Linked DNA regions of Pelodiscus sinensis. The protein of the gene in region 1 interacts with the protein of each later gene in a pairwise test. Links are inferred from orthologs where the notes say so. Each region holds a gene or a part of one and is shown in the gene's direction. Other genes may lie near its edges. The genes, in order: NUDT21, RPLP1, RBM48 and MYL6.

Region 1 (7,204 bases):
AAAATTATTTTCATTTTTTGGCCCTGTTCCTTTCAGACCTCTAGAAAAGGGTGCCTAATGATTTGCTGTGATTTCTAGGAACTACCTTACCTTAATGCTGAGATGTAAGGCTCTTTCCTCTTCCTCAGATCATCAGACTAAGGAGATGCATGGAAAATAAGAACAATTTATTAATTTGGACTCTGCTCTAAGTTACAGCTGCAGCGATAAATAAGGGCAGAACTTAAATAAGTCTATAAGTATCATCAGTGTAATTTACAGCTCTTGCAGGAACCGGAGTGCAGAATGGATGGCAGAGGGCCATTGCAGGCAAAAGGCGAATTAAGTAGCCCAAAAGTTACTAGGGCACAATGCCAGCTTCACCAATGCAAGTTAAAGGTCTCAGGGCACTGGTCCAACACTCGATATTAAAGCTGAGTCATTGACTTGCCAAGGAAATGTCTGCACTTGGGAGGGGAGTATCTGTATTCTACGGCTACCACACCTCAAAAGAGCCTCTACTTTCAGCATTGTACAGGATATACACATAGGGATTTCTCTTTCAGACGACAGAGATGGAGGGACAGCCAATTTTTAGCGTGCCAGAGGGTGGAGAAAGCAGAAGAGGATTACTAATCTTTCTACATGTGTAAGTTTTTCCTGCAGGATGAGAGAGTGATGCCATCATGTCACTCTGCGTCCTGCAGTTCCTCCCTCCTCAGCCACCCAGCCTCCTCCCTCACTCCCATACTGGTGCTGAGGGTCCCAGCCTCTCTGATGCCGGAGAGGGCAGCAGCTAAGTGGCCTCCCTGGAGCTCCTGGGGACAGGGTGGCAGCCACGTGGCTTCCCCAGCCTCCCCGGAGCTCTGGGGTGGGAAGTCAGGGCTGCCTGCCCCCAGAGAGGAGGGTTGACGAGCGGAGCGAGCAGGGGACACTGCCCCCAGTGTCTATTATCTAGGTTTAAACCTGTGTTCTCCTAAGTTAGTCTGCACCTATTATTCTGCAAAAGTCATCATTAAATACTCTTTCATGCTCATATGGGTACAGGCAGACAAGCAACACAACACCTAAACACCTCCCAAGAAGAATGATCTTCCTTAATCATATTTACATACCTTCCTGGTGCCTCTCCCTTCCCCCCTGCCCCTGCCCTCCTTCTCCTTGGTGCCCACTCCCTCACCACCCTCTACCCCAGTTCTCCTCACTCCCCTCTGTGCCCTCACACGACTTGCTCCATCCCCTGCCTTCCTCAGGTCCATCGCGCCTTTAAATGCCTCTTCTCCCAGCACTCACTCCTCCTCTCCCTCCCTCTTGCCCCCACGGTCCCTCCCCTTTCCTCTCCCAGCATCACCCTGCCTCTCCCCTCCCTCCTTTTCCTCACTGTCTCCTCTTGGCCTGGCATTTCTCTTTCCTGCATCCTGCCCCTTGGTGCCTGCCCCTTTCTTTTCCTGGCGTACCCCCCCTTGCCTCAGCACAAGTCCCTTCCTCCATTCTCCTTAGTTCTCTCCCTGCCCCTTCCCTCAGCTTCTGCCTTCCAGTTTGTGGGGGTGGAGCCTGCTGACCAGCCCCAGAAGTCCCCGCAGCCCCAGATGCTCCCAGAGCCGGACCACTTGCCGGGACTGGAGCTGTGGCCGCCCACAGTGTTATTTTTAGTGCCGCAGTCCATTCCCCACGGGCAGCCCTGGCTCCGGCTGGAGTCCAGCGGCATCTGCGCGAGACCCAGCTGGAACATGGCTCGTGTGGCTGCCACTTGACTCCAACTGGAGCCAGGGCTGCCCACAGTGCTATTTTTAGTGCCGCAGTACAGTCTCTGTGGTCGGCCCTAGCTCCAGCTGGAGCCAAGTGGCAGCCCTACGAGGCACGTTCCATCTGGGGAAGTCTCACCAGAATACTCCTTGCATGACTGCTGCTTGACTCCAGCTGGAGCTGGGCCACCAACCATGATCTGGACTGCAGCACTAAAAATAGCTCCACAGGCGGCCCCTGCTCCTGTCATGGCACCTGCCGAGCCAAGCGCCCCTCACCCTGCAGCATCTCAGCCAGGCTCTGCACGGCTCCTGCCAGGCTCCAAGGCGGCCTGGAGGAGAAGGAGGTGGGGCTGCCGGACCAGGACTTTGCATAGCAGAGGCGGTCCTGTGGGGGGAGGGAGAGAGGAAAGGGCGGGCCACTGGAAACTGGCCCAGTAGCCCTACATGCCCTGCTGGGGGGAGGAGGCTGCTGCGCCAGTATCCCATCAAGTAGTGAAATGTCCAGCGGGGCTTTCTGGGACATTTCTCTACTTGATGGGGCACTGGGACAGATCATTTAAATTCAGGATAGTCCTGAAAAAAATGGGACATATGATCAGCATAAACATAGGTGTCAAGGAGTTTCACTCACAGCTTTGCCATTAACTTGAGATCCCCTACAAACCAGATAAAGTCATGGGTCAGAATTAGGCTTGAATAAATTCTTATAAAAATAGTTCCAACATGCATTTGCTTTACACTTTGTTAATTACATAGATTTACATTTTACATAGTTGTGCAAAATTATACATTTTAAGCATTTTCCCAGGGTTTATTCATTTAAGTTAGGCATCTAAAATAGCGCTTCTCAACAGTTAGTGACAGCTTTTGACAACATTAACCATGGCATGTCATCTTGCTTATTTCCACATTTCAACTTTATCAGCTATGATAGCCACACACACTGGTCCAGGTGTCATGAGGCTTATCCTAGATCTATGAAACATGAATGCATTTGTACAGCAGTGTCGCTGTAAGACAGGCATGTCCAAAGTCCAGCCCGCGGGCCAATTGCGGCCCGTGTTCCGGTTTAATACGGCCCCACAGGTAATTTGGCAATATCTATCTTTTATGGCCCCCAACGAATCCATATGTATTGAGATGAATACATTGTAAAATGTCAGTTGGTCTAAATCAGTTATAAATATATTTGGACACAACATGTATACTTGGTGTTACGTTCCTGTTCATATTTTTTGAACTTAAAAGTTGACAGACAACCTTTATTACCAATAATATGTAATGTACTTTACAATGTTCCTGACATATATTTCAGCTTCCTGGATTTTTTTTTCATCTGGCCTTCAGATATGAAAGGCAGAGTGATTTAACACCTGTTTAGATTTGTCATCCATGTGACGAAATGAAAAGTATGCCGTTTGCAATAAACTTTGCATAAAATAGTTAATTTGCATTTAATTTGAATGGCTCAAAGAATGTCAGGCAAAATGGTCGGCCCTCACGCATGTTCACTTCATCAAATCTGGCCCTCTTTGAAAAAAGTTTAGACACCCCTGCTGTAAGGTCTCCTGTGTAGCTGCACTGTCCACATCAGCACTTTTGCTGGTGAAACTTAATGTTGGTCCGAAGTGTGTTTTTTGCACCCTCCGGAACGACAGAAGTTTCACTGACACAAGTGAGATGGAGCCAGTCTGAATTCACAAATAGCTGCAAGCACAGACCGGGGCTATGAACACACAGCGAGCGCTGTGAGATCGGTGCGGACACACTCGGGCCTACCATGGCAGCGCACCTGTTTGAACTTGTACAAGTCGTTGCTCTTCTCACGGAAATCCAGGCTCGCGAGCTCCTGGTGCAGCCCGTCCAGGAAGCCCGGGCTGCGGATGAAGCGGGGAATCACGCAGTGACAGAAGGGCGCAGGATCCACCGCGACGGCCTCTGGAGACAGCAAGCGAGACACGGTGAGGCCAGGCCCCGCCTCGGGCTCCCCACGAGCTCGCCGCCGCCCTGGCCCGCGGGGGCCGAGAGGGGAGGCCAGGCCCGGGCGCCTCAGCGAGTGGGGGAGGGGCCCCGGGAATCGGTACCGTGGCTAAGCGGCTCCCTGCGGCCCCAGGCGGCCGCTGCCTTCTCCTTCAGGGCCGGCTCCCTGAGAGCCGCGGAGAACTCCCCGCGCACCTCCCGCTTGCCCCGCTTCTTGCCCGGCCCGCCCTGCGGGGCCTCCCTGGCCCGCGGGCCGCGACGGCTCGCGCTCATGGTCAAACAGCCTCTGCTCCGCCAGCGCGCGGGGACAGCCACCCCCGCGGGGCCTACAACTCCCAGCAGCGCTCGCGCAGCCCAGGGAGCCAATCGGAATGAGCCGAGAAGAGCGCGGCCCTGAAGCCAAGGGGAGCGAGGCTACAAGCCGCCAGTGGTGCGCGTGCGCCGTAGGGCGGGTGGCGGCGCGCTTGCTGTCCTCTATGGTCCAGGCGCTCTGTGCGCCAGTCTCTATGGTTACCCTTTCCGGCGCGCGCCCGGTCGGTTCCGGCGGAGCCATTGGCGGGGTGTGAGGCCTGGCGCGCGGGGATGTTAATGGTGGAATTGGCTCCCGCCGCCGAGCAGTGACCTAGCCCCTCCCGCCTGCCGCTGCGCCATCATGTCCGTGGTGCCGCCCAACCGCTCGCAGACCGGCTGGCCCCGCGGGGTGAACCAGTTCGGGAACAAGTACATCCAGCAGACCAAGCCGCTCACGCTGGAGCGCACCATCAACCTGTGAGTGCCCGCCCCTCCCCCCTCAACTCCCCGGCCCCCCCCTCAGCTCCCCAGCCCCCCTCCCTCAGCTCCCCGACCCCGGCCCGGCCCCCCCCTCCCTCAGCTCCCCAGCCCCTCCCCCAATCTCCCCACATCCACCTGCGAGCCCCGTCCCCCCCTTCCTGTGGAAGACCCTCACCGTGCCCCGGGCTTAGATCTCCCCCGGCTTCCGGGGAGGGAGCAACACCCTGAACTCTCGGAGCTGCTGGCTCTGGAGAGGGCCGTCTACAGCCCTTTCTCCCCATTGCTCCTGCCTGTGCCTTAGCCCCTCACCTCAGGCTGGAGGTGAGGGCCTGAGGGAAGGAGGCCCCTTCTGATCCCACTATCTGCTCACACTGGAGAGGACTGAATTCTGCCTAACTGGGATGGCTTTAATGGGAGCAGGCTCTTTACCTGGAGGAGACCTTCAGTTTGTGAGGAGAGGCATTAGGACCGTCAACGGGGGGTGTAAATATACCGCTGCTATCTAAGTGAGATTAAATAAGGGGGTTGCTGAGTTAGGAGAGTTGCACACCTGTTTTCCTGAGGGTTTATATTCCTTCCACCTCTGTGGTGTCTTGAGTTTGTGTATAGGATGTAAAAGTGTGTACCCAATATGTGCTCATTGTTCAGCGTGTACTGAGTTTACAGGACAAATATGTACCTTTTTTGGATGTTTGGAAGCTGTAGGATGCAACTTGATTTGTATTAAGTAACATGCAAGTGCTGGTATGCAATGATTGCCTTAGTGGGCCATTTATTGAAGCAGGCTTAGCTTTACAGTGGACATCACATTTAGTTTTTTCTTCTTTGATAAGTTTACAAAGTTGCAGTAATGGCAAACAAATGTAATACTCAGTACTCCACAATTAACCATTACACACTCAGAGCTTTTTTTTGGGGGGGAGGGGTAGCTGAGTTAGTCTGTACAGATAAACTAAAAAAACAACAAATAATAGTCTGGTAGCACTTTATAGACTAACACAACATGTAGATGGGATCATGAGCTTTCGTGGGCACCGCCCACTTCTTCAGATGACCAGAGTGTTGGATTTCTAGGACCAAAATGAATGGGCGGGGAGGGGGGGGGGAGAAGAAGTGAAAATTGGGAGGAGGAGGTAACAAGAAAAGGCAGTAGGTAAAAAATATATGAAAGGAAAGCTGAGTCTATAAGTACCTAAAGACTAGATAGTCAAAGGGGGCAGATAAGAACCATTAATTAGCAAATAATAAAGCTCATTTGCAAGTTCAATTCTCACACCTCTGGATTAAACAAAGATACTGGATGGTTAGGTCATTACCTACCTATCAAACAATGAGGGCAACAGTGGTTCTTTGTCTTTGAAGAATCTCATGATAACAAATTCTAGATATTTCATCAGTCTAAGTGTTTCCTGACTCTTTGTTGTTTGCTAAGTCCCTGCTCCTACCAGGTCCAGCAGCCCCAGGGTGTGGCTAGCCCAAGGCTCTGCTGCCAGAGAAGCCTCCTCTACCCCTCACACCTCCCTGCTGCCTTTGCCTCTTTTAAGATGGTTTCTCCCAGCACTGGCTCCTGTTTTCTCCATCCCCAAGGTGGAGGGTGGGGGGAAGTAAGAAGATGACTCAACTACTCTTTTACATCCCTACTTTGAAGCCCAAATGGATAAAACTAATTTTAAAAGTGAAAATGTTAATCTACAGGGATTTTTGTTGAGGGGAAACAGTCTGTTAGCAAGAAGCTGTAACTCTTTGAATTTGTGTTTATTAGTACAAGTCAAATTTTTTGGATCCAGATTAAGGAATATCACACATTTATAAAGTGGACAGCGCTTCTCTATGATAAATATAATCTTATTTTAGAGAAGGAATTATAATTTGAGATTTCTGAAATAATTTAAGTAGAAGAAGAAAATAGTGGTGAAATCATAAAGCCACAGATAAAGAGGAGAAAATACAAGAGACTGGTAATAAAGATAATAAAGACACCATTGATCAGGAAGCAAGAGACCTGTAATTGAGAGGATGTTCATTAAGATATTCTAAAACTAGAGATGCTTGTAGAATAGCAGCATGCATGAGAATTGGCTCTGATACTCTGTACTGGAAGATGGGGAGAAATTCCAAATTAGCACTGAATTTGGGAAGCTATCTCTAAGATTAAGGTTTTAGAAAAGAAACACCTAAAAAGATTTCAAGTGAAATGTTTATAATGACCTTAATAGTTATCAGATTCAAATGAGTTATTTAGAAATGCATATTAGTATCTTGCATCAAAGCATCTGCACAAATCAATAAAAATCAAGAACCGATCAACCAAATATAAGAGAACTTCCCCTGCTTATTAACAAACTCATTCCCTGCTACTACAATGATTATTCAAAAGTCTGTCAAACAGACTCTGAAAGCACAAGCTTAAGAACTCTCCTAACTCAGGCAGAGATCAAGTAGGAGGTCACAGATATAGGCTCTCTACTTGAGTGTCTTGCTGCTATTTGTGGAGAGCTTTAAGGCTTGGAATAGCTGAGTGTGAGCCAGTGGTTTACTCTTGCAATTGCAGAGGGACAGCCTTTCAGGTAAGTGGAGCCCAAATCATTTAATTAGAACTTTATAGATTATAACCAGTACCTTGAATTGCATCCAGAAGAGAATAGGGAGCATATGTGTGCACATCTTATAAATATTTTGAAATCAGTGATAGCTAATTTTATACTACGGTAGCTGACCCTCAGGAT
Region 2 (7,825 bases), on another chromosome or scaffold:
GTGCGAGCTGTGCTTTTGTGCAAAAGCGCCCATGGCAGCGTGGATGCTCTCTTGCGCAAGAAAGCTCTGATGGCCATTTTAGCCATAGGGCTTTCTTGCACAAGAAATCCCTGCCAAACGTCCACACTGCCCTCTTGCGCAAGAACTCCTGCACAAGAGGGCTTACACCTGTTAAAAAAGAGCATAGCTCTTGCGCAAGGAGCCCTCTCTTACCACGCCGTACTGTAAATTTACTTGCGCAAGAGTGGGCGGGCAGTGTGGACACTCTGCAGATTTTTGCGCCAGAACAGCAGTACTTGCGCAAGAAGCTGCGAATGTAGACATAGCCCCACTATTTTTCACAAACCCCTCAACAACATAGAGAAGGCTTCCATGGGAAGCTACCAGACATGAGCCTCATCACTCTGGCCAGATGCAGCCCCGGTGAGGACAACCCTGGCTCTATCACCAACTTATCCAATGAAATGGTTTTTGTGGGACTCATAGACCACATACAGGAGGCATTACACCAGATCCTCCGGTCCAGGAAGATGGGAAATCAGATCACTTCCACCCTCACCAAGAGGAACTTCTGAGATTCCTGATGGAGAGACAGAGGAGGAAGGGAGGATGTCTGAACTAGACCAGGAGGATACTTCATCTGCCTGTAACTCCTCCTTACTATAGTAAGATGAGGGCCTGAAATAAAAGTTCATGTAAAATAGGCCTGGTTTGAGGCCTCAGGCCTAGTTAATAATGGTCAAGACTTTGTTAATATAAAGCAAAGCTAAGTTGTGAGCAAAAGGCAGGCCCTCTGTTCAGAGAACTTCTCACAAAAAGGGCTGATAGTTTAAAACACTAATTGGTAATAGGCTGAGGTGTAGAACAGTAATTGGCACTAGGTACTGGCTGTAAAACAGAAATTGGTACTGGTCATAAATTGAAAGCATATTCCAGAAGGATGCTAACAACATCTAATTAAAAAGGACCGTGGTACCCACGCTCCCCACACATAACAGGGACATACCAATCCAGGGTCAGGAAAGGATCTAAAATGATAGCATGATGAATGAGAGATGTTCTAATCAAGCCACAAGGTGCAGGGTGAGGGGTGGCCTCTACATAGTGTCAGAGGATAGCAATCTGTCATGTCTACAGAACGGGTGGGCAAAAGCCTCTCAATGGGCCAGATCCGGCCTGCCTAGGGCTTTGATCCAGCCTGTGTGGCTGTTCCAGGCTCTGCTCCCTAGTGCATTGCCTGAGAGCTGGAGTCCTGTGAGCCCTTTTAACTGCTTCTGTTTAAAGGGCTTGCGTGTCTCAGGCTCCCAAGCAATGCTAGTAGCGGGAGCGGTGAGCCCTTTTAACTGTTTCTATTTAAAGGACTCTCATGAGCCCTTTTAATGGAAGTAGTTGAAAGGGCTCTAGCTCAAGGTTCCCTGTAGACTGCACACTGGTGTGGCTGCCCAGCTCTTTTCTGAGCCCTCACAGAGGTTCAGAGCCCCCTATGCAGGTACAGAGCTCAGGTTGGGGAAGGGGCGGGGGGACAGACACTTGCTTCCTCATGGGGTGGAGGAGTGAAGCAGCAGCAGCTGCCTGCCTGCTGTACTGGCCCCAGCCTCTATTGTGGTCCTCCCCCCTCACTTTCCCACTCCTCTGGAGGGTCGGTACTCGCAGGGGGATCATGTGACCCAGATCGTGCTGAAGCGTCTGCTGAAGGGGAGGAGGGAACTTTGCTTCATTGCCTGCAACCAGCCACATGTAAGAAGCTGGGTAAGTTACAGACCTGCCAGATTGGCTCAACTTCTCTGCCTCTTTCCCAAATCCTCCCCTATCCTGTGAACTGCTAACAATGTAGCAGCCTCCCTGTTTCTCCCCTTGTCCTCCCAATGGGGAATTGGCTGGGCTGGGATCCTCTTTGTTACACTTCCCCACTGGCTGTGTCTAGACTGGCCAGTTTTTCCGGAAAATCAGCCGCTTTTCCGGAAAAACTTGCCAGCTGTCTACACTGGCCACTTGAATTTCCGCAAAAGCACTGACTTCCTACTGTAAGAAATTGGTGCTTTTTGCGGAAGTACTATGCTGCTTCCGTTCGGGCAAAAGTCCCTTTTGCGCAAAACTTTTGCGCAAAAGGGCCAGTGTAGGCAGCTGAGATTTGTTTTCCGCAAAAAAGTCCCGATCGCGAAAATGGCGATCGGGGCTTTTTTGCGGAAAAGTGCATCTAGATTGGCCACGGATGCTTTTCCGCAAAAAGTGCTTTTGCAGAAAAGCGTCCATGCCAATCTAGACACTCTGTTCCGAAAATGCTTTTAACGGAAAACTTTTCCGTTAAAAGCATTTGCGGAAAATCATGCCAGTCTAGACGTAGCCACTGTGTGTGGGTATGCCACATTTGCATGATTACATTTCAGCTTGAGAAAGACATAAGGAAGAAAAAGATTATTTTAACAGAATATTTTTGACTTGCAGATATCTAAAACTCTGATCTTAATGATCTGTTTTTAAATCCTGTTTACTAATTAATACATGGTTAATTGTATTGCATTAAGGCCAGATCTTTGCTATGTGGTAGAGTTCTGGCTCTTATGAGTTAGAAGTAGCAAGTGATGCTGTTTTGTAGGATGAAACCTTATTTACAAGAAACATCTGTTAGAAAGGATGATGATATGTGTACTCCAAGTTCTCAGAGGGGTATCCCTGTTACTATGTAACTAAGAAAACTTAAAAAACAAGAATGGTCCTGTAGCACCCTAGAGACTAACAAAAATATATAAATAGTATCATGAGTTTTCCTGGGCACAGTCCACTTCTTCAGCCATGGGTAGTGTTAATTTTCTTTTCGTTTGTTTTCATATTAAATAATCATAAGCATTGCTCCTTGTTAATTATCCCTTGTTTTAATATATTTTCTTCCACACCTGTGGACTACTTAAAATATATACTTATATCTAGTGTTTTTGTTTGTACTGGTGGGTGGACATCCACACACTACCTCAATATTGGTGTTGCACATAAAAAATTTCAACCCACCCAAAAGAAAATTCAACCCGCCCAAGGATGGAAAATCTTAGAGGGAACACTCTAGCATCCCTGGCACCAAGGCTGGGAGCAGCAAACCTTTAAATAGCAGGAATTGAAAGGAGCTTGCAGCGCCTGTCCCCTACTAACTTGATGCCTGGGAGCTGCAGGGGAGGCACAAGCCCTTTCAACTGCCATTTAAAAGTTCCTTCCCTTCTGCCTAAGGCTCTGCCCTTTCTGTCTGAGGCCCCGCCCCCTTCCAAAGTGGCCTGTGATCACTTAAATTTTTTTGAAGTGGCCCCCATTCAAAAATTATTGCCAGCATCTAGAGTGATGTGTAACTTATTTGTACTTGTATATAAAGAGATATGGTTCAGTAGAATCTACTTACAGCTATTACTGTACTTCATTTAAGAATAAACCTAGCCAGGCACCTTCTATCCTTATCTGATTTTGTGGTCTTTGAAGACTCTCTTGGAGTCTGCTGTTTTGACTACTTGTACAAAGTCAACATAACACACAGGATGGAGACACCTGCACATGTCTGAACGGTTATCATTGATGGAGGAAGAGACCTGTTCAGGACACTACATCAGTAAATCCTGACTACTACACTGGATGAAGCGATTATACCAACAACCCCAAAAGCATCCAGTGACTTGAAGCAGTTCTATAAATTGCAGCAAATCTTAGTCCACAGCGGGCCAGGTCACCCCTGCAGGCAGGGGCTGCTCTCCTTGGGATGCTGGAGCAGTCCTTGCCTGTGGCAAGGGGGAGGTGGTCCAACCCAGGAGTGTGCAGGGTGTGTGTGTATGCTCCAGTGAGGCTCACCTTCTCTTTAATCAGTTAACATATTCATTAACTAGTTAGCCAATTAAATGGGATTTTACAACCCTACTAACTATATCAAATGACCTGATCTCATAGAACAGTGTTTCTCAACCAGTGGTACTTGTACCTTCAGGGGTACTCAAGAGAAGTGTGAGGAGTACATCAACACAACTGAAATTTGGAGAAAATTGAACTTTTAAGTTTTACAGCACATTATTATTTTTGTACTTTTTTACCCACAAAAATGTCATCACCCACCTGGTTACGATTAAATTGTTTAAACAAATGTGTTGTAATGGTAGAAAAAGATTTTATGTGTCTGAAAACTGTAGGTGCTGGGGGTACTTTTATATTTTTAAAAGGGGAACTTACAATTTTTTTTGAAAAAGGGGTACTTAATAAAAAAGGTTGAGAAACTGTCATAGAAGATCTTCCTAAGCAGGGATGATAGCATCTTCAGGAGAAGGCTATCGTCAGTAAGGGTCACATTACAGCCCCCACAGTACTAGATAATACTCTTTCTTCACATCTGCTGTTAAACTTAGCGTGTGACTTTTTTGGTCTGTTTGCTATTGTCATTTGCTGGGCAGCTTGCCCTACATACGGTGCTAGCTGCTACCTTTTTATCTCTCGTTATGTAGGTGGGGCTGTGAGCAGAACCTGCATGAACCTAGAGAACACGGGCGTGAGAGAGAGGGATTCTCTCCATTGCAATGGCCAAGATCTCAGGCGCGCCCGGAAGACATTCGTCCACTTCGCACCTGCCCCCCCAGCTGCTTCAGCGCGTTAGCTCTCCCTGCCGTCCCCCCTTCGGCTGGACTCGGATACTTCCGTGAGAGTCCATCACTTCCGACACAAGCGGGGCCTTGCTCTGATTGGCTAGGACCGCACATGTTTGTGATTGGTCAAGAATATCCTGCTTCCAACTGACTGGCTGACAGATCCGCTTCCGGCCTGTGATTGGCTGAGGCTGGATTTATAGCCCTGTCCCGGAAACGCGGCCCCCCTCTTTCCGCTCTGGCCGCACAAGGTGCTGGGTCCTTCAGCTGAAGCTAAGGCCGTTCCACCCCGGCGACTAGCACCGCGCCGCGCGCCCATCCAGCCATGGCCTCCACCTCCGAGCTCGCCTGCATCTACGCCGCGCTCATCCTGCACGACGACGAGGTCACCGTCACGGTGCGTCCGGCCCGGCCCCACGCGCGCAAGATGGCGGCGGGCGCCTCCGCCTGCGCGGGAAGGGGGGGGGGGGGTGGGGAAGCCTCTCGGCCTGGCTCCCTCCTGGGCCGCAGAGCGTCTGAGTCGGGGGCGCGCTCCGCCACGCGGGGCCACGGGCCGCCCCGCACCAGGCTCCGGGCTTGCGCTGCGCCGCGACCGCGCCGGTTCCGCCCGGTTCCTGCGGCAGGACGTGGCTGTTCCCGAGCTCGGCCTTTGCGGCGGCAGCGCAGCTCGCTGGGTAGCGCGGCCCAGGGGCGGGCGGGCCCTGTGGCAGCTTCCGTGACGCCGCTCGCCTGCTTCAGTTCGTAGGCAAGGCCGGACTCGTATCCCTTCTGGTCTCCACGTGCGTGAGGGACTGAGGGTGCCTGCTGGAGATCCTGGGCCACAATGGCTGGGAGAGGACTAGAAATGCACGTTGTGCCGGTGCCTGACTTGTTTGTTGTTATAACAGCATGTTTAATTGTTTCAGGAGGACAAAATTAATGCACTTATTAAAGCAGCTGGAGTAAATGTTGAACCGTTCTGGCCAGGCCTTTTTGCAAAGGTAAGAAATAACAGAAAAGTGGATCAATGAATTGTAGTGGGTCCAAGTATAGCATGTGCAGTAGGTAGCTTCGGCCTGTGCACAGCTGAGATTTGTGAATAGTTTGTAGATAACAAGTAGTAGTTTTCTGGCACTCTGGCAGATAGCTATTAAATTACTGTCCAAATGTAGTTGAGGTTGATATTTTGAGAATCCTCTTCCTCTGATTAAATACCCAACTGATAATCTAATTAATTAAAATTTTATCAGCATTGAATGGTGTTGATGAAAACAAATTTTAGCAAAGTGGTGACACTGGTTAGTTATGTGAGCATGGAAGGCCAAAATATACAAACCCTAGTTGGAGAGTTCAGTGCCTTGGCTGGTGTTTCAGAGGGTTGGAGTTGAGCAATAGGTACATCATATAAGAAGCTCTAATGTGCCTAGAGATGTGGGTTGGTCATCTTTTCAGAGCCATTCAGAAATAGAATTGACATCAAACTCTGACTCAATTTGTTGGCTTATGTGGTAAAAGAAAAGCTTTTTTTAATATTGCCCTGAAAAATCATAAGAGATTGGGGACTCAGATGGCTTTTTTCCCCTCTACGTCTTGTTAAAGATACTTCAGGACAAATTATGTATTCTGACATGTATGCAGTTTCATTCCTTTAGTTGGTGCTGACCCATCTTATTAACCAAATCTTGCTAAATTAGACAAAAACGTTGCTTAGAGCAGTTAACCTTTCTCATGGCATCTTTAATGTTAAAAGCTTGCTTTGGTCAAAGTTGTTTGAGTTACGTTGGCAAACTTGTCGCTATACAGTTTTGTAAGTTGAGATGGATCATTACTTTATCTTGCAGCATGTTGCAATTATAACTACAGTAGGAGACTGACAGCATCCCACGCACCGTAGTAAGGAAATGCATTATTAAATCTAACTTACGATTTAGCCTGACCAATTTACTATGTGCAAGAGTGCTGAATTATGCAACTTTTAAATATCCTTGAAACAGCAGTGAATAGTGTGCAACTTCTGTAAAATATAGTTCTAATGAATTTTAAATATTCTTAGGCTCTAGCTAACATTGACATTGGAAGCCTAATCTGTAACGTAGGAGCTGGTGGTGCTCCTGCGGCTGCTGCTCCTTCTGGAGGCACTGCTCCTGTTGGTGGTCCTGCCCCTGGTAAGTGAATGCTTTGATTTCTGTTATCTTGGCATAACTTCAGAAGACATGACTGTGTAAAATGGTGATAAATCCTGTCTTTGTATGGTGTCTAATTCACTGTATTTTTGAATTCTTACAACTGCTTTGTAATAGATAAACTTGTCAGACATTTGCAATAAACAGCATTTTGTTCTGTGTGGTTAGCTATAGTTACGTTTTTACATTTTCTGATCTCTTAAGATAATATGAATTCAGTCTGCGGAACTACTGTTTCCTGACTGCTAAAGGGCATAACTATAGTTTGAAAATAGTGAGCTTACGAGAGAGGCATTGTTTGGATGGGGAGAGCAGGCTTGTTACTGAAATTTTAAAAGCACTGCTTTATCTCCCTGTTCTCCAGTGTTGGTCATCAAAGGCACTGCATGGAGTAAGGGCACTGATAATCTGTGGATTAGATTCTTTGGCTGTGGTACTGATGTGCTTATGAAGCACCACAAATTACATTGGAAAGCTATTTTACAATTGTGATTCTTCCATTGTAAACTCTTCCTGGAGGTTAGTTGAGTCTTGACTTTAACCGTTTTCTCCCCCTTTTTTTTTAAAGCTGAGGAGAAGAAAGAGGAAGAAAAGAAAGAAGAATCTGAGGAATCTGATGATGACATGGGCTTTGGTCTCTTCGACTAAACTGCCTTTTTGTACCATCTGTAATAAAAAACAAAGAAAAACTTGAATCATGTTTTACTAATCTATTAGAACTCTTTGAAGGGGGTCAACAAACATGGACAAGGGGTATCCAGTAGATATAATGTACTTATATTTCCAGAAAGCCTTTGACAAGGTCCCTCACCAAAGGCTCTTATGTAAATTAAGTTGTCATGGTTTAAGAGGGAAGATCCTTTCATGGACTGATAACTGGTTAAAAGACAGGAAACAAAGGGCTGGAATAAATGGTAAATTTTCAGAATGGAGAGGGGTAACTAATGGTGTCCCCCAAGGGTCAGTCCTAGGACCAATCCTATTCAACTTATTCATAAATGATCTGGAGAAAGGGGCAAACAGTGAGGTGGCAAAGTCTGCCGACAATACTAAACTGCT
Region 3 (6,899 bases), on another chromosome or scaffold:
GCAGCTGTGTGTGTGGGGGGGGTGGGGGGGGGGGGGGCAGGGGCGGGAGAGAAAGAGAGAAGGCTTGAAAGCCGGCTCCCTGCACATACCAACTCCCGACTGCCCCTCCATCCCCACACTACTGCCACTGATACAGTGGGGGTGGGGTCTGCATGTGACCAAGAGGGTTAACTGATGAGCCCAGGCTTATCAGTTAACTGTGTACTTGGATACGCAATCACATTAGGGATGTTAAATATCAAGTGAATTGACTAATCAAATGCTCGATATATTTTGCATCGACTATTTGATTAGTTGATAGGGCACCTCTGCCTTTGAAGTATAGCAACAGCCCTTAAGCTGTTGCTACTCTTCAAAAGCTAAAGTGCTGTGTGGAGCCTGGGGTCAGCTGGGGATTCGCCCGGTGACCCCGGGCTCCATGCAACGCTGTTGCTTTGAAATGCTGCATGCAGCCTGGGGACACCCCAGCTGGCCCAGTCTCCATGCAGCATTGCCGCCTGGAGCCCAGGGTCTGGCCCCACGCTCCACGTGGTGCTGCTGCTTTGAAGTAACCCCTTCTCTTCCTCCCCTTGCTGCTTCTTTCTGAGAGAGGCAGCCAGGTGGGAGGAAGCAATTAGACGACTAGCCTGTAGACTATCCAATAATCATTTATCAGACAGTTGACTAATTGTTCACATTCCTAAATCGCATTCCTAGCAGAAATGCCCCCAACACAGTGGCAAATATCCTCCATACTCCCCCCCCCCCATACCTTGCTTCTGTTTGGGGGAGCATTGGGGGAGCAATGCCTCCCCCAAACTACATCCATGGACATCCCCAGACCAACTACTCCCAGTGCCAAATACCATGCAGTTATGTGACCACACTCTTGCAGCTTCCCTTTGCTTCCCTGTGATTTTGTGCGGGAAAGCTTAGGCATGGGTTAAAGAATCTGAATTCTGTGATGCTCAATAATGCAGAATTCCCCAATTCCCTCAGAAGTAAAACATAGCTGTTGTGGTATGCTTAGGATATAGATGTCCTATAGTGAACACAACAGATACAAAGTGAAAAGAAATAGCAGCATCAATAATATTGCTGCATTCAGTCCCAGTGAGGACAGTGGGGATCTGTCTGCCTGCATGGAACAGGCTGCACAATTGGAACCTAAATGAAAGCATTATTTCTTCCAGAAATTTTGTTTAAAAAAAGTGCATTCCAAACCTGTTCTCCTTCTGCAATGCCAAGTTTCTCTGCTAGGTGTCTGTTAATTTCAGCAATATTTTCACCATGGTGATTACGATGTCTAATTTCCATCCAACTCAAAAATATAGGCTGGTAACCCAAGGAGATTTTCACAGCTTGGCCCTGCTGATTTCAGACAACAAAATAACATTAATAGAAAACAATGTAAATAAAATTATACTCCACAAATACTGCTTGTTCTCATTAACAGTATAGACAAAACCTGACATTTGATTACAAAATGAAGAAATGCGGTTTGTTCCTGGATTTGCCATGCTTTCTTTTAACAAATAATGTAGCATCTTAGCACAAGACAGAAATACACTGTAATACACTGAATCATTGAAAATCTGAATACGACACTCCATGCCGGTGCAAAGATCTGCCTATCTATCTCTGATTTGATCACTGGGGCCTTGCTTTGATGGATACTAGAAACATAAAGTAACGAAGGTAGAGATTTACACACACAAAAGGTTACGAACCCGTTTGGTACCTCAATATATGCATCTTCTTGGCTCTTTATTGTTTTAAAGATTAATTTAGATTCTATCAAGTTATTGTTAAGAGTGTGGAAAATGTAAAAGAAGGGGATATTAGGAGGGAATTGGATGAGTATAGGCAGATTGTGTATCATTAGGAATCAGGGATAACACTCCATGGTACAATTTTTTGGGGGAAGGAGACAAGCAGGGGTTGTATCATGTATATGTATCAAAAATATATGACACTGCATTTGTTTTGTTTCACTGGACAAGTCAACTAGAGTTGAAGACAACTCTACAGAAAGTGGCATATCTTACGTCCCTTTGGCTAGCCGGACAAAGTGAGAGACTGTCTCAGCTTCCGAGGCACCGGTACCCAAAGCCCATCGGTGAGGTCCAAATTGCTGTGCTTTGGAGCAGTCTTAAATACAGTTTTCTTGCCTTGTTTGGCAGTATGGAAATTTCCAGGGGTTATTCATTACTTGCTGATGTAGGGCTCGGCTGTTAGTTATCCATCTGGTTCTGATTTTGTTCTACTTGTTCTTTGGCCTTGTTTAAGTGATCAGTGCATTAGAGTAAACAGGATTGTTTATGCGTTCTTGCCCTTTACCCTCGTTCTTGCTATACTGGCAACAATGCTTATCTTAAATGGCATATGTTCCCAAAAACATGCTTCTGGCTCATCAGATATGGGGGAAGGGGTAAGAATGCAGGCCTCACACCCCTAAACTTACATGTACAAAACTCTTCCGCAATTAACTCCTACACCCTGCAGCAGGTGGAGAGGCTGCTCCAACCAGCCATAGCTGTGCTGTGGGCGGCTGGCTGCTCTCCACACCAATTAACGGGTTAACTGATAAGCATGCCAGTAAAGCAATGCTTATCAGTTAATTGGTTAACTTTTTACACCTCTAGATCAGGGGTCTTGTGAGGCAGTCGATTCAAAGTGAATCACTGGCACTGGGGCCACCATGAAAACTTACTGGCATTGTGAGGACATTGTGTGTTGGTGCTGGTGGTAGTAACGAATTACTGGTATTGCAGAGAGTGTCATGAAGAGATGCTAATACTGGGGGCATCACTAGCATTAGCGGACATAGTGAGGAGATGTTAACATTGGGGGCACTGCAAGCAGCGTGGGTGTAACTGGCATGGAAAGGGAGCAATGCAAAGGGGCTAGTATCAGAGTCATCACTGGCCTCAGGGGTTGTGAGGAGGTGCTGGTAGTTTTGCTAGCATTAGGGGCTGTTGTGAGGAAATGGTGGTATTGGAGGCATTGCTGGCTTTGGAGGCATTACTGGCTGAGAGGGCACTGGTGTGAGGGGAGTGTGATAAAGTGCTGGCATCAGAGGAGTTGCTGTCACTGGCGAGCACTGAGGGGCGCCACTGGCGAGCACTGAGGGGCGCCACTGGCGAGCATGGAGGGGGAGCACGATAAGGAAGTGCTGGTGATGGGATGTCGCTGGCAGTGGGGTAATCGGTGGTATGTGAGGAGATCTGGCAGGGGGTGTCACTGCATCACTGGCATTGGGGGGAGGGAAGCGGCGAGAGAACGGCCTGGCGTTAGGATGGCAGGGGGCGGGGTCTAACGGACCGGGGGAGCGGGACTGAAGCGATGTCACCGTAGCCCTGAGGGGGATGCTGGCGAGGAGGGGTGAAGCCATGAAAGTTAGAGGGGCGCCTCCCAGTCCCTCCCGCATGCTGGTGGGGAGAGGGGCGGGGCTCTGCCACGATCCGCTCCGAGGGTCCCATCGCCCAGCCGGGGCCCGCCCCAGTACCTGCTGCAGGCGAAGGTGGGAGGCCAGCGCAGGCGGCAGGTGCAGGAAGCAGTCCCGGGTGCCGCTGAAGGCGACAGTCACAGCAGCGCCCCCCGCGCCTCCGGGGTAGCCGCTGCCCCACATCGCCCCGGCCGCACCCAGCCGCGGCGCGCCCCGGCAGCATCGAGCGGCCGCTCCGCACTCAGGGAGCGTTACCCCGTGTGGCCAGAGAGAAGGAAGCACGAGCCCTCAGTACTGGCCCCTACCCTCCAGCAACATTGGTACGGCCCGCCACAGGCCAATGAGCGTGCGTGCCCCCTTCGCCCGCTTTCTCTGATTGGCTGTTCTCTCGAGGGATTCTGCAGGTGCTGTCTGGTCAGCCCAAATCTCTCCTGCGCGTCCCCGCCCGCAGCCAATGAGCGCGCCGTAATCGCTCCCCGGTTCTGTGACTGGCTGCTGTTTCGGGGAGCTACTGGTGCTGCCTGGCCGTGGCGCGCGCGGGGGGAGATGGGAAGATGGCGGTGCCTGGCGATGGAGTTGGGGGCTTTTGTAAACACCACGCGCAGCAGGGCGTCTGCGACTCGCGCGCCAAGTACCGGGAGGGGCGCAGGCCCCGCGCAGTGAAGGTGGGAATGTGCGGGGCCTGCACTGGTTAGCCCGGGCTACGGGCCACCTGGGCGAGCATCTGGCTTCAAATGCCCGCGCCCGCCCGCGGGTACGCGCCAGGTTGCGGGCTGCTCTAGCCGCCTCCTGTTCTCCCTGCGGGAGCGTCACCCTGCTCCGAACGCTGCGGCGCCTGGGGCAGAGTTATTCACTCCCTGGCCCAGGCTAAGGCCACCCGGGGGCACGGCACAGGGCGGGGCTCTGGCTGGCTCTTGCTCTCCAGTGGCTGTGGGTGCACGCTCTGTGTTCAGTTTTGTGGCATTGTGATCCAAAGGCCGCAGCCTGTTGGGGTGATAGGATGGTGCAGGATTGCAAATCACCCCATCACACACTCTCACCTACCTGGCGCTGCCTGGAAACTAATGAGGTTTCATTCTGGCAAAAACCGATATAAAGCTTGCCACCAATGAGTTAGGAACCATTTGATTAACATATTTAAAAGTTTCAGAGGGGTAGCTGAGTTAGTCTGTAACAGGAAAAACTTAACAACAAATAGTCTGGTAGCACTTTAAAGACTAACAAAACGTGTAGATGGTATCATGAGCTTTTGTGGGCACAGACCACTTATTCAGATGAGCAGAGTGTTGGAAGTCCAGAACCAAGAATAAATAAAGGAAGGAGTGATGAGGAGGTGTCAATGGTTCTTGATGTCTGTGTAGAATCTGGTGTCACTACTCTTCCTTTCATAGTGCAAACTAATGATTATCAGCCTCTTTTAACTATTTAGTCTTTAAGATGCTAATAGACTATTTGTTGTTTTTTAAATGTTTCCTGTTTCAGACTGGCTCTGCTATCCCTTTGAAAAGTATGTACCCAATGTCCTCTTTTCCTCCCCTCCAATTTTTTTCCTCCCTGCCCGCCCCCATCTCTCCTTGTCTTATTTATTCTTGGTTCTGGACTTCCAACACTCCAGTCATCTGAAGAAGTGGGCCACAAAAGCTCATGATACCATCTACATTTTTGTTAGTGTTTAAAGTGCTACCAGACTATTTGTTGTGTTGTGTTGATTAACATATGTGCGTCTCTCATTACAACAAACATCAGTTTGTTCCGGCCACATTTAACATCCCCCACTCCACACAAACCTGGCCATATTGGGAGTGTTAATCATTAATGTAAGGAATGTTCGATTATGAAACTATAGGAAACATTAATATTGAAAGAAATCTCACATTTCAAAATTCTTCTTGCACTATTTTGGCCTCATTTTAGATGTCTTGTTACATGCTACAGAAAGCCTACCAGCATTCAGTTGAATCATAGAATTGTAGAAAATAAATTGAAAAATGTATTCCCTTATCTTGTCTTGAAAGGTTGCATACAATACATACAAGCTTCAGGGCCCAATCCTGCAAACATGTTCATTGTTGAAAAGCACATGTAATGTACTGGCTAGACTATATAGCATTGCTCTTTACTGGATCAGATCGGAAATAAACCTAACTCAAATGGTAGGCATCTGCTTTTGGATCAGAATGATTGAGTTCTATAACCAGTCACTGATGAGGAAGTCCCTGCTGATCATAGAATTCTTACAGATTTCTGTTTGTTGGGAGTCCCTATAATACTTTCTTTGAAAGATTCCAGGCTTGAAATCAAGGGGGAATGTTTAAAATTTTCTAAAGTTCTAAGAGGTCAATAGAAGAAAAATACTTGAGCTGCTTGAATATAGTATTTAATGTTTTATTGCAAGATAAATGTATGTAAATGTTTTTATTTCTTTTAGGTGTACACTGTCAACTTAGAATCTCGTTATTTGCTAATACAAGGCGTTCCTGCTTTGGGTGTCATGAAGGAATTAGTGCAACAGTTTGCATTATATGGTGCCATTGAGGAGTACAATGCTTTAGATGAGTATCCAGCGGAACAATTTACAGAAGTTTATCTTATCAAATTCCAAAAATTACAGAGTGCAAGGTATTGCAACAGATAACATCTGTATGCTTTCCATTTTCTTCAATCTTTGGTTTCTTAATATAATATATTTTCAAGTAAATTTCTTGAGATTCAGGTAAAATATTTATTCCACGTAAATATGCTTGGTAAATACAAGAATGATGTGTTCTCTGTACAGTGTAGTCATGTAAACGTTTATTACAAACATAGATCAAGAGAATATCAGTGATCCACAGATACGTTTGTTAAAATGTAAGCTATGGTAATATTGGACTAATGTAACATTTTAATGCAATTTTCTTTCATTTAGGATAGCCAAGAGAAAAATGGATGAACGGAGTTTCTTTGGTAGTTTGCTTCATGTGTGTTATGCTCCAGAATTTGAAACAGTCCAAGAAACAAGGGAGAAGTTGCAAGACAGGAGAAAGTATATAGCAAAAGCAACAAGTAATAGAGGTTTGTAATTGGACACCCTTTTGAAAGTTTAAAGTATCGCTTGTGTTGTGGGTATGTTTTAGCAAAGTAAAAATGCCTATTCTTATAGTTAATTGTTCCTATTTACTTTTCTACAAAGTGTGCGTGTCTGTGTTTTCAGTATTTTAAGAGCAGAATGGGAAGTTCTCAGTGTTCAATGGATTCTAAATGATCACAAAAAATATAAAACAAATAGTGAATAGGGGATTAACAAAAGGATAGGTTTTAATGCTTTTGTTTCCCTAGTTTCTTTTCTTGATAATGAGGTGTGTGATCTCATTTATCAGAAACATAAGCATAGCTAAGAAACATGAGGTGAGAGTCTTAGCCCCATTCTGATCCTTGTGCAGGGTAAATGGGCCCTAAGGTCATGGATCCACCAAAGGTAGAATTCCCCCAG
Region 4 (7,274 bases), on another chromosome or scaffold:
GGAGCCCAGGGTCAGCCCGGACTCGGGGCCCTCTGGCCGCAGGCTCTGAGCCAGAGGGCTGGGGGGGGCCCAGTGGCCCCTTTCTGTGACTAATGCTTCTCTCCTCCCCTCACAGCCTTCGTCAAACACATCCTGTCTGGCTGAGCAGGCAACATGGGGTAGGTGCCCCCTTTTATTCGTCAGACTCCTTTTTGGGGGTGGCTGCTCCTTTCTCTACCTTGAGACCCCCTTCCCCTCGACCCTGCCTCTTTGCCAGGCCCTGGGCAGGTCCTCGCTCACCTGTGTAGCGTAAAACCCCTCTGCTCTGGCAGAGATGTGTTTTCCCGGCCGATCCCCTCCCCCGGAATACCTCCCAGTTCAGCGTCCTTCGTCCCATTCTAGTGGGGGAAACTGAGGCAGAGGGATTTGCTCAAGGTGAGCAGCAGGTCAGTGGCTGAGCCAGGCGCAGAAGCCAGGTCTCCCGCATGCTGGTCCGCGTGCTAACCACTAGGTCATGCTGCCTGAGAAACAGGCCCGGGTAGGATGCCCGCAGACAGGGCCAGCGTGAGTCTGGCTCAAGCCTGGTGAACTAGCTCTGGTACCAGCTGTGGCCCAAGACCATCAGACCGGCCCAGCTCCACTCTGCAGCACCGTGTCCCTAACGGGGCCCTGCAGGGTGCAATCAAACCTCTGAGGGGCCTGGGGAGCTGCCTCCAGAGCCCCAGGGGGGCCCCAGGGTGGAAGAGCCCCATGCAAAGGGGGCAGCGAGGCTTTGCTTTTATCACTCAGGATAGGGCATCGGGGTGCCTGGCCCCTACGCCCAGCTCTGACGTGGCCTCAGGCAAGCCCCTTCCCGTGCCTCAGTTTCCCCACCCCTCAGCACACGTCCCTTGCGGGGCTCCCGAAAGCTCCAACTCACCAACACCGCCCCGGCTCCCAGCGCCTCTGCTAGGCCAGCATCCTGCGGGCACAGCGGGTGCCCTGCGCACGCTGGGGCACCTGAGACCAACCCGCTGGCCCCGCTGTGCCGGGGAGAGATTCCCTCCAGCCTGTGCCCCGGGGCACGGAGCTTGAGATCAAAGCGAAGCTCTGGGGCGGCTCCTCCTCCTCCTGCCCCTGCCCCAAATGGGGCCCCAGCTCCCCAGATGGGCCACACGGGGCCTCTCACTGTCTCCTCTTCTCTCCCCAGGCCGGGCAGGATGGGGCTAAGCACCTGACATCTCCGGTGAAGACTCCTAGGCCCATCAGTCTGCGGGGGGGGGGGGCATGTCCGCTGCTCCCTTTTTCTCTCTAACCCCTCTCCCCCACCAATGGCCGCTGCAAAGGACTTGTAAACGCCTGACCGGAGTCTCCAAGGCCTCAGGACACCAGTGGCTGAGGATCCAGCAAGGGGGGTGTCGCAGGGTCCCCCCGAGAACAACGGCCCAGCCCAGGGGAGCCCACTAAGCAGATCTGCGGCCCCGCTCCAGATCCCCAGGCAGGAACGGACCCAATCCCCCTTGTGCCCGTCCTGCGTCTGGACAATAAAAGCCGTTTGTTTCCAGAAGCCTCTGGCCTCTAGGGTTCGTGTGGGGCCTCCTGCTAGTGGGGGAAAATCCCCCCCCCCACCGGCGCCCTAAGTATTCCAGGGGAGCCGTGGTGCAGACACCCTGGTGCTGGCAGAATTCCCTGGGGAGGTGAGCTCTGGAGTCCAGAGCCAGGGAATGGCAGCAGGGTCCTGGAGAAGTTCGGGGAAACACACCCACTGGTTCCTATTTGTATGGGGGTGAAAGGCTGGGACTGGAAGCACAGGGATCTGCCCCAGCAGCCCCCAGGCCTGCCCTGTGGCCCACAGCGCCCCCTGCTGGGAGCAGGAATTCCTCCCCTGCTGGTTTCTTTCCCGGCACTCACAAACTCCGCTCTTGTCCTTTTGTTTTTCCATTTGCTGCGTCCTCGGGTTGCCAGCGAGACCCAAAAAGTGCCATCGGCAGTGGAGGGTCGCCCCCTTCCCCTCCCCGCCTGCCGTTTGCAGAATCCCTGGCGTTACCCCTCAGTCAGGGAGCAGCCACTAGTAGGGTTGCCAGGTGGCCGGTTTTCACCCGGACAGTCCGGTAATTGCATCTTCTGTCCGGATTAAAAAAAAAACCAGAAATGTAAAATGTCCAGTATTTTCTGTTTTTCTGGGACGGAAAGCCAGTGAGGACATTTTGCCCCAGCTGCATCTGGCAGGGGTGCAGAGAGTGGGGAACGCAGGAATTTAAAGGCATAGCAACTCTTTTTTTTTTCCCCCCCTCACCCAATTTTTTTTCCCCACCATATTAGGGATTTTTTGTGAAGATATCTGGCAACACTAGCCACTAGCTGTGTTATGGCCCATTTGGGACCTGGGAAAAGCCAGCACCTTCCCTGCCTTCCAGCGGGAGGCACCTGGCTCCAGGCGGTTTGGAATTCCTCTGCCCTCTCCTTGGAAAAGACTCGGCACGTCAGCGCCACCGAGACGGAGACACAGGCTGAGGCCTGTCACTAGCCGAGCCATGTCGGGGCATTCGCGGACCGGCATGGGGGTCCCACTGGCCCGGCTGCCCTGGAGGCCGAGAACTGCAGCTGCAGCACAGGGCACCGGGGGAGTGGGTGACACTTGGACTGAGGGGTCCGTAGCCCAAAAGGGGCATGAAATAAAGGTGCCCCGAGCTGACCCAGTCCTAGTGCAGGGCTTGGTTAATTCTCAGGCAGGTCAGAGCGATCAATGAAAGTGAGAGAAATCTGACGCATTAAGGACAAATTGTTGGGGTGGGGGCAGGAGGCTTGTGGGGTTCAGGGGGGGTGTCTTTCCCATGGGGCTGGAAGATGATTTGCCTGAGTGAGCACTCGCTAGGTGTTTGGGGCAGCTAAACCTAGCAGGGTCAGCGCCGGGCGACTGCCAGAGAACAGGGGCCTGCTCATTAAACCCCCCGACTTGAATTCCGCCCCATTTGGGTTAGGCTGTTGGCAGCCATGTCAGCTGAATGGACCCAGCTGGCCGCTGCCGGGTTCTCACTCCCCAGCACCGTCGCCCTGCTCAGCCGGCAGGTGGGTTGGGATGGGAGAGACAGGCTGGCCCAGGCGCCCCGTTATGGATGATGCTTTGGTGGTGTGGGGGCTGCAGGCTCTTCCCCGAGGCTGCCCGCTGGTGCGGGGTGATCACACCTGTGGGGGGCGGGGGTGTCACCTGCTGAGAGGCGAGCGCCCGCACAGAGAACGGGTCCCATGGAAATGCCCATGTACATGCTGCCCCTGGTCCCTGAAGAGCTGTTCTGTTAAATTCGGCTCTGGTGAGGCCACATCTGGAATATTGTGTCCAGTTCTGCCCCCCCCCCCCACTCTAGACAGGATGTGGACGCATTGGAGAGGGCTCAGCGGAGGGCGACCAAAATGGTTGGAGCACATGACCTATGAGGAGAGGCTGAGGGATTTGGGTTTGTTTAGTCTGCAGAAGAGAAGAGCGAGGGGGGATTTGAGAGCAGCCTTCAACTTTCTGAAGGGAGGGTCCAAAGAGGATGGCGAGAGGCTGTTCTCAGTCCTGATGGAGGGAGCAATGGTCTCAAGTTACAGTGGAGGAGGGCAAGGTTAGATATTAGGAAATACTATTTCCCTAGGCGGGTGGGGAAGCACTGGGATGGGTTCCCTAGGGAGGGGTGGAATCTCCAGCCCTAGAGGTCTCCACCTGACAAACCCCTGGCCGGGTTGATTGAGTTGGGATTGGTCCTGCCTAGAGCAGGGGGCTGGATTTGATGACACCTTGAGGTCTCTTCCAGCTCTAGGATTCTATGAAATGAAACCCACCCTCCCCCCTGTTCCCCCAGCCCCTGCTGGGACCCTGCCTGCCCCCCACTTCCTCCAATCCCTGCTGGGACCCTGCCTGCCCCCCACTTCCTCCAATCCCTGCTGGGACCCTGCCTGCCCCCCACTTCCTCCAATCCCTGCTGGGACCCTGCCTGCCCCCCACTTCCTCCAATCCCTACTGGGACCCTGCCTGCCCCCCAATTTCCTCAATCCCTGCTGGGACCCTGCCTGCCCCCCAATCCCTGCTGGGACCCTCCCTGCTCCTGTTTTCCCAACCCCCTGCGGAACACCCCCAGACCTCCATTTCTTCTAACCCCCTCTGGGACTCTCCCTGCCCCCCTGTTTCCCCATCCCCCACTGGGTCCCCCTAGCCCCCCATTCCTCCAACCCCCTCTGGGTCCCTCCCCGGTCCGGCCCCCCCGCAAGACCCCCATCTCCATGTCTATCTATAGACAAAGTCGGGGCTGCTGCGAGCGACTCCCCCGTCTAAGGCCTGATGCCGCAGTTAAGTAGCACTGGCCAATGGCGTGCGAGTGCCGGGGTGACGTCAACGTCTGTAAAAAAAGGGCAGAGGAAGCAGAGCGCAGGGTCCATTGCTGGGAGTGGAGCTGCAGCCGCCATGGTAGGGGGGGGGGGCAAGCTGGGGTGCACGGGGGGAGGGGGGCCGAGCTTCGGGCGCACGGGGGGCGCACTGAGGGGGAGGCGAGCACCAGGGTGGGGGGGTCACGCTTAGGTCCCAGCCCGCCTAAGCCAGCGACCTGCCTCCCGGGGGCGCAGCGCTTCTGGGGGTCCGGGCTCGCGGGCGTGGAGGGGGGGGGGGGGGCTGGCAGCCCCGCTGACGGCGGCTCCGCTCTGCTTGCCTTGCAGTGCGATTTCTCCGAGGATCAGACGGCCGGTAAGTGACCCTCCCCCCTTCCTTGCGCAACCTTTGCGCGGTATTTTCATCTCGGGGTGACTCCTTGGCGCGTCCCGCCGCCGCCGAAGGATTCACCGCTCTCTCTCCCTCCCTTATAGACCTTCCTCCTCCTCTGTCACTAGCCTTCACTCTCCTGTAGCCTCCTCTTTCTAGCCTCCGGCGGTAAGTGGGGCCGGCCCTACCTGTGTGATCGCTCCCCCCTCCCATTAACACGGGGCCCCTCGCTTCGGGGGGAGGGGGGGCTCTCTCCGGGCTGACTTTGGCTCTTGCTGCTCCGGGGTTCCCAGCTCCCTAATCCTGAGTCTGGGGGTGACTCACCTGCCCCCCCTTTGCGCGCATGGCTCACCTATGAGCAGTTTCCTGGCCCAGCCCGGCGGGCCCCGCCCAGCCTGCGGGCCTCTCTGCCGGGTAACCCAGCACGGCCGGATGGGGGGCAGATTAGGCTTTAGGGGCGCTGCGTGGACCCCCCCCCCGCCTGTGAGTCAGGGGAGGGGTGGCCGGCTGCAGGCGGGGTGTGGTCGCAGCGGAAAATGGCTGCAAAGCTCTGGGACCGGCAATCACCCGTGGCAAACTCCCAGCTCGGGCGCCCCCCCGTCCCCGGCGGGGCGGGAGACACCCGGAGCAGGGGTCGCGGCTGGAATGTTGCGCTGCGCAGTCCCTGCGCGCTGCCTCGCTTGGATCTCCATATACGGGCACAAAACCCGCGGCCCGGGGCCCGCCCGCCTGGGCGGCAAGGGGGGCCCGGCCGTTCCGGGCAGGGATCAGCCAGCCCGGGACGTGGGGAGGGGTCTCCGCTAACCGGGGCGTGGGGAGGGGCCAGATCCTCTCTGGGTCCCCTGGCAGGTGCTTGCTGTTGGCTACAGCAGGAAGTGCCTAGGGCTAGTGAGTTTCAAACTTTTTTCCTTATGACCCAGCTGAAGAAAATGTTTAGGCTGGGTTGCAGCATCATGTGGCGGGCGTGGGGGCTGAGGATGGGGTGCAGGGAGGGGCTCTGGCTTGGGGGGCCATGGCTAGGGCAGGGGGCTTACCTTGCACGGCTCCGGCGGGGGCCCTAACGCAACTTCCTGCCTCTTCTGGCCCTGCAGACCAGGCTGAGCCTCCGAAGCAGCCGGCAGCAGGTTCCCAGCCAACGAGTGGGGAGTGGGGTCTAGCGCTCCGGGCAGTCCGCCGAGTCCTGTGCGCTCTTCTCCGTCCCCGGAGCCCGGCCTGTTGCCGGCCACTAATGGGGCGCGGCGCAGCCTGTGGTTCTAGGACAGGCAGGGAGCTGCCTTAGCCCCCCACTGTTCCCCCTGCTGCCGCAAGCCCTAGTTTGAAAAGCACTGCACTAAGGAGTGAGCCCTGTCTCCTGGGTTCGTTCCCAGCTTCAGGAGGGGAGTGGTGGGGTCTAGTGGGTTAAAGTGGGGGGAGGGGAGAGCTTGGATCCTGGACTCCTGGGTCCTTTCCCCAGCTCTGCAGCTTTCTCCTTCCCATGGAGGTTCTGGGCAGACTGCTAGGGGGTGGGAGGGCTGTCTTGTGCAAGGTGTCGCTTTGCCTCCTCCCCTGCCAAGACCCCACTCTTGGCTGTTGCCCCCATGGCCACATCCCTCGTGCGAGACTCACCGGGGCTGACCCTTGGGCGTTGCAGTGCCCTGATGCCCCCGGTTGGCCTTAGCGTCAATTACTGTGTGAGCACCTCTAGGGCCGGGTGAAGGCGGAACTGGGGACCCAAGTGGCGCCAACCTGCCAGCTAAGGCGGGTGCAGCGTTGCCATCAAAGGCAGGCGTCTCCCATCCCTGGCTCAGGCTGGGCTCAGCGAATGGGCAGCCCCATGCAAGCCCCCTGGCTCTTCCCCGAGTCTGCGTCCGGGAACCTGGATCCGACGAGGAAAGGAGATCTGGGCGGCTCTGCACCCGGCGGTTCCCTTCGACTCCACCAGCCGGCTGCGTCGCTCGGGGGGGGGGGGGGGGGGGAACTGGGGAGGTAGTCGAGGCCCGGCAACCCTTCAGCTAGGAGCGGCTCTAGCCAGAGATGTGTCATTCTCCCCCCCTGCCCCCCTATCCCAGCATCAGTCTGTGCCGGCAGCAACAGCTGTCTGAGCTCAGGCTAGCGCAGCGTGACAGTGACCAGTCTGGGGCAGAGCTGGGAATTGGACCTGGGGCTCTCCAGTCTGGCACCTTATCCCAGGCTTCCTGTCGAGGGCAGGTCAGAGAACTGGCAGGGACCTCGTGAGGTCGTCAAGTCCGGTCCCCTGCCCTCACAGCAGGACCTAGCACCAGCTATCATCCTCTAACCTGCTCTTAAACGTCTCCAGGGATGGAGATTCCACAACTCCCCCCCCCCCCCCCCCGGCACAGTGTTTCACCCTCCTGAGTTAGGAAGTTTTTCCTAGTGTCCAACCTAAACCTCCCTGGCTGCAGTTTAAGCCCCTTGCTGCTTGTCCTGTCCTCTGAGGCCAGGAAGAACAAGTTTTCTCCCTTCTCCTTATGACACCCTTTGAGATACCTGAAAACGGCTCTCCTGTCCCCCCTCAATCTTCTCTTTTCCAAACTAAACAAGCCCAGTTCTTTCAGTCTTCCCTCCTAGCTCATGTTCTCTAGAC

Evidence for each region.
Region 2: the proteins of NUDT21 (region 1) and RPLP1 interact in a two-hybrid assay, tested with the Homo sapiens proteins (2 studies listed by BioGRID and IntAct). The link is inferred for Pelodiscus sinensis from reciprocal best matches to the Homo sapiens genes NUDT21 and RPLP1.
Region 3: the proteins of NUDT21 (region 1) and RBM48 interact in a two-hybrid assay, tested with the Homo sapiens proteins (2 studies listed by BioGRID and IntAct). The link is inferred for Pelodiscus sinensis from reciprocal best matches to the Homo sapiens genes NUDT21 and RBM48.
Region 4: the proteins of NUDT21 (region 1) and MYL6 interact in binary tests that used the Homo sapiens proteins (3 or more experiments, as listed by UniProt). The two-hybrid records come from large-scale screens. The link is inferred for Pelodiscus sinensis from reciprocal best matches to the Homo sapiens genes NUDT21 and MYL6.

What each region holds. Positions count from the first base shown.
Region 1 is NC_134722.1:44,118,422-44,125,625, forward strand, and holds the start of NUDT21 (cleavage and polyadenylation specificity factor subunit 5), read left to right. Parts: upstream 1-4,203; 5' UTR 4,204-4,359; coding exon 4,360-4,475; intron 4,476-7,204. Other genes in the region: prolyl 3-hydroxylase OGFOD1, read right to left, coding at 91-137, 3,520-3,665, 3,812-3,980. UniProt on the Homo sapiens protein: Component of the cleavage factor Im (CFIm) complex that functions as an activator of the pre-mRNA 3'-end cleavage and polyadenylation processing required for the maturation of pre-mRNA into functional mRNAs.
Region 2 is NC_134712.1:7,725,734-7,733,558, reverse strand, and holds RPLP1 (large ribosomal subunit protein P1), read left to right. Parts: upstream 1-4,818; 5' UTR 4,819-4,929; coding exon 4,930-5,001; intron 5,002-5,509; coding exon 5,510-5,584; intron 5,585-6,636; coding exon 6,637-6,748; intron 6,749-7,334; coding exon 7,335-7,414; 3' UTR 7,415-7,461; downstream 7,462-7,825. UniProt on the Homo sapiens protein: Plays an important role in the elongation step of protein synthesis.
Region 3 is NC_134712.1:213,672,285-213,679,183, reverse strand, and holds the start of RBM48 (RNA-binding protein 48), read left to right. Parts: upstream 1-3,897; 5' UTR 3,898-3,981; coding exon 3,982-4,092; intron 4,093-5,855; coding exon 5,856-6,046; intron 6,047-6,335; coding exon 6,336-6,481; intron 6,482-6,899. Other genes in the region: peroxisomal ATPase PEX1, read right to left, coding at 1,204-1,350, 3,488-3,610. UniProt on the Homo sapiens protein: As a component of the minor spliceosome, involved in the splicing of U12-type introns in pre-mRNAs.
Region 4 is NC_134729.1:4,087,891-4,095,164, reverse strand, and holds the start of MYL6 (myosin light polypeptide 6), read left to right. Parts: upstream 1-4,261; 5' UTR 4,262-4,276; coding exon 4,277-4,402; intron 4,403-4,647; coding exon 4,648-4,675; intron 4,676-7,274. Other genes in the region: myosin light polypeptide 6, read left to right, coding at 116-144. UniProt on the Homo sapiens protein: Regulatory light chain of myosin. Does not bind calcium.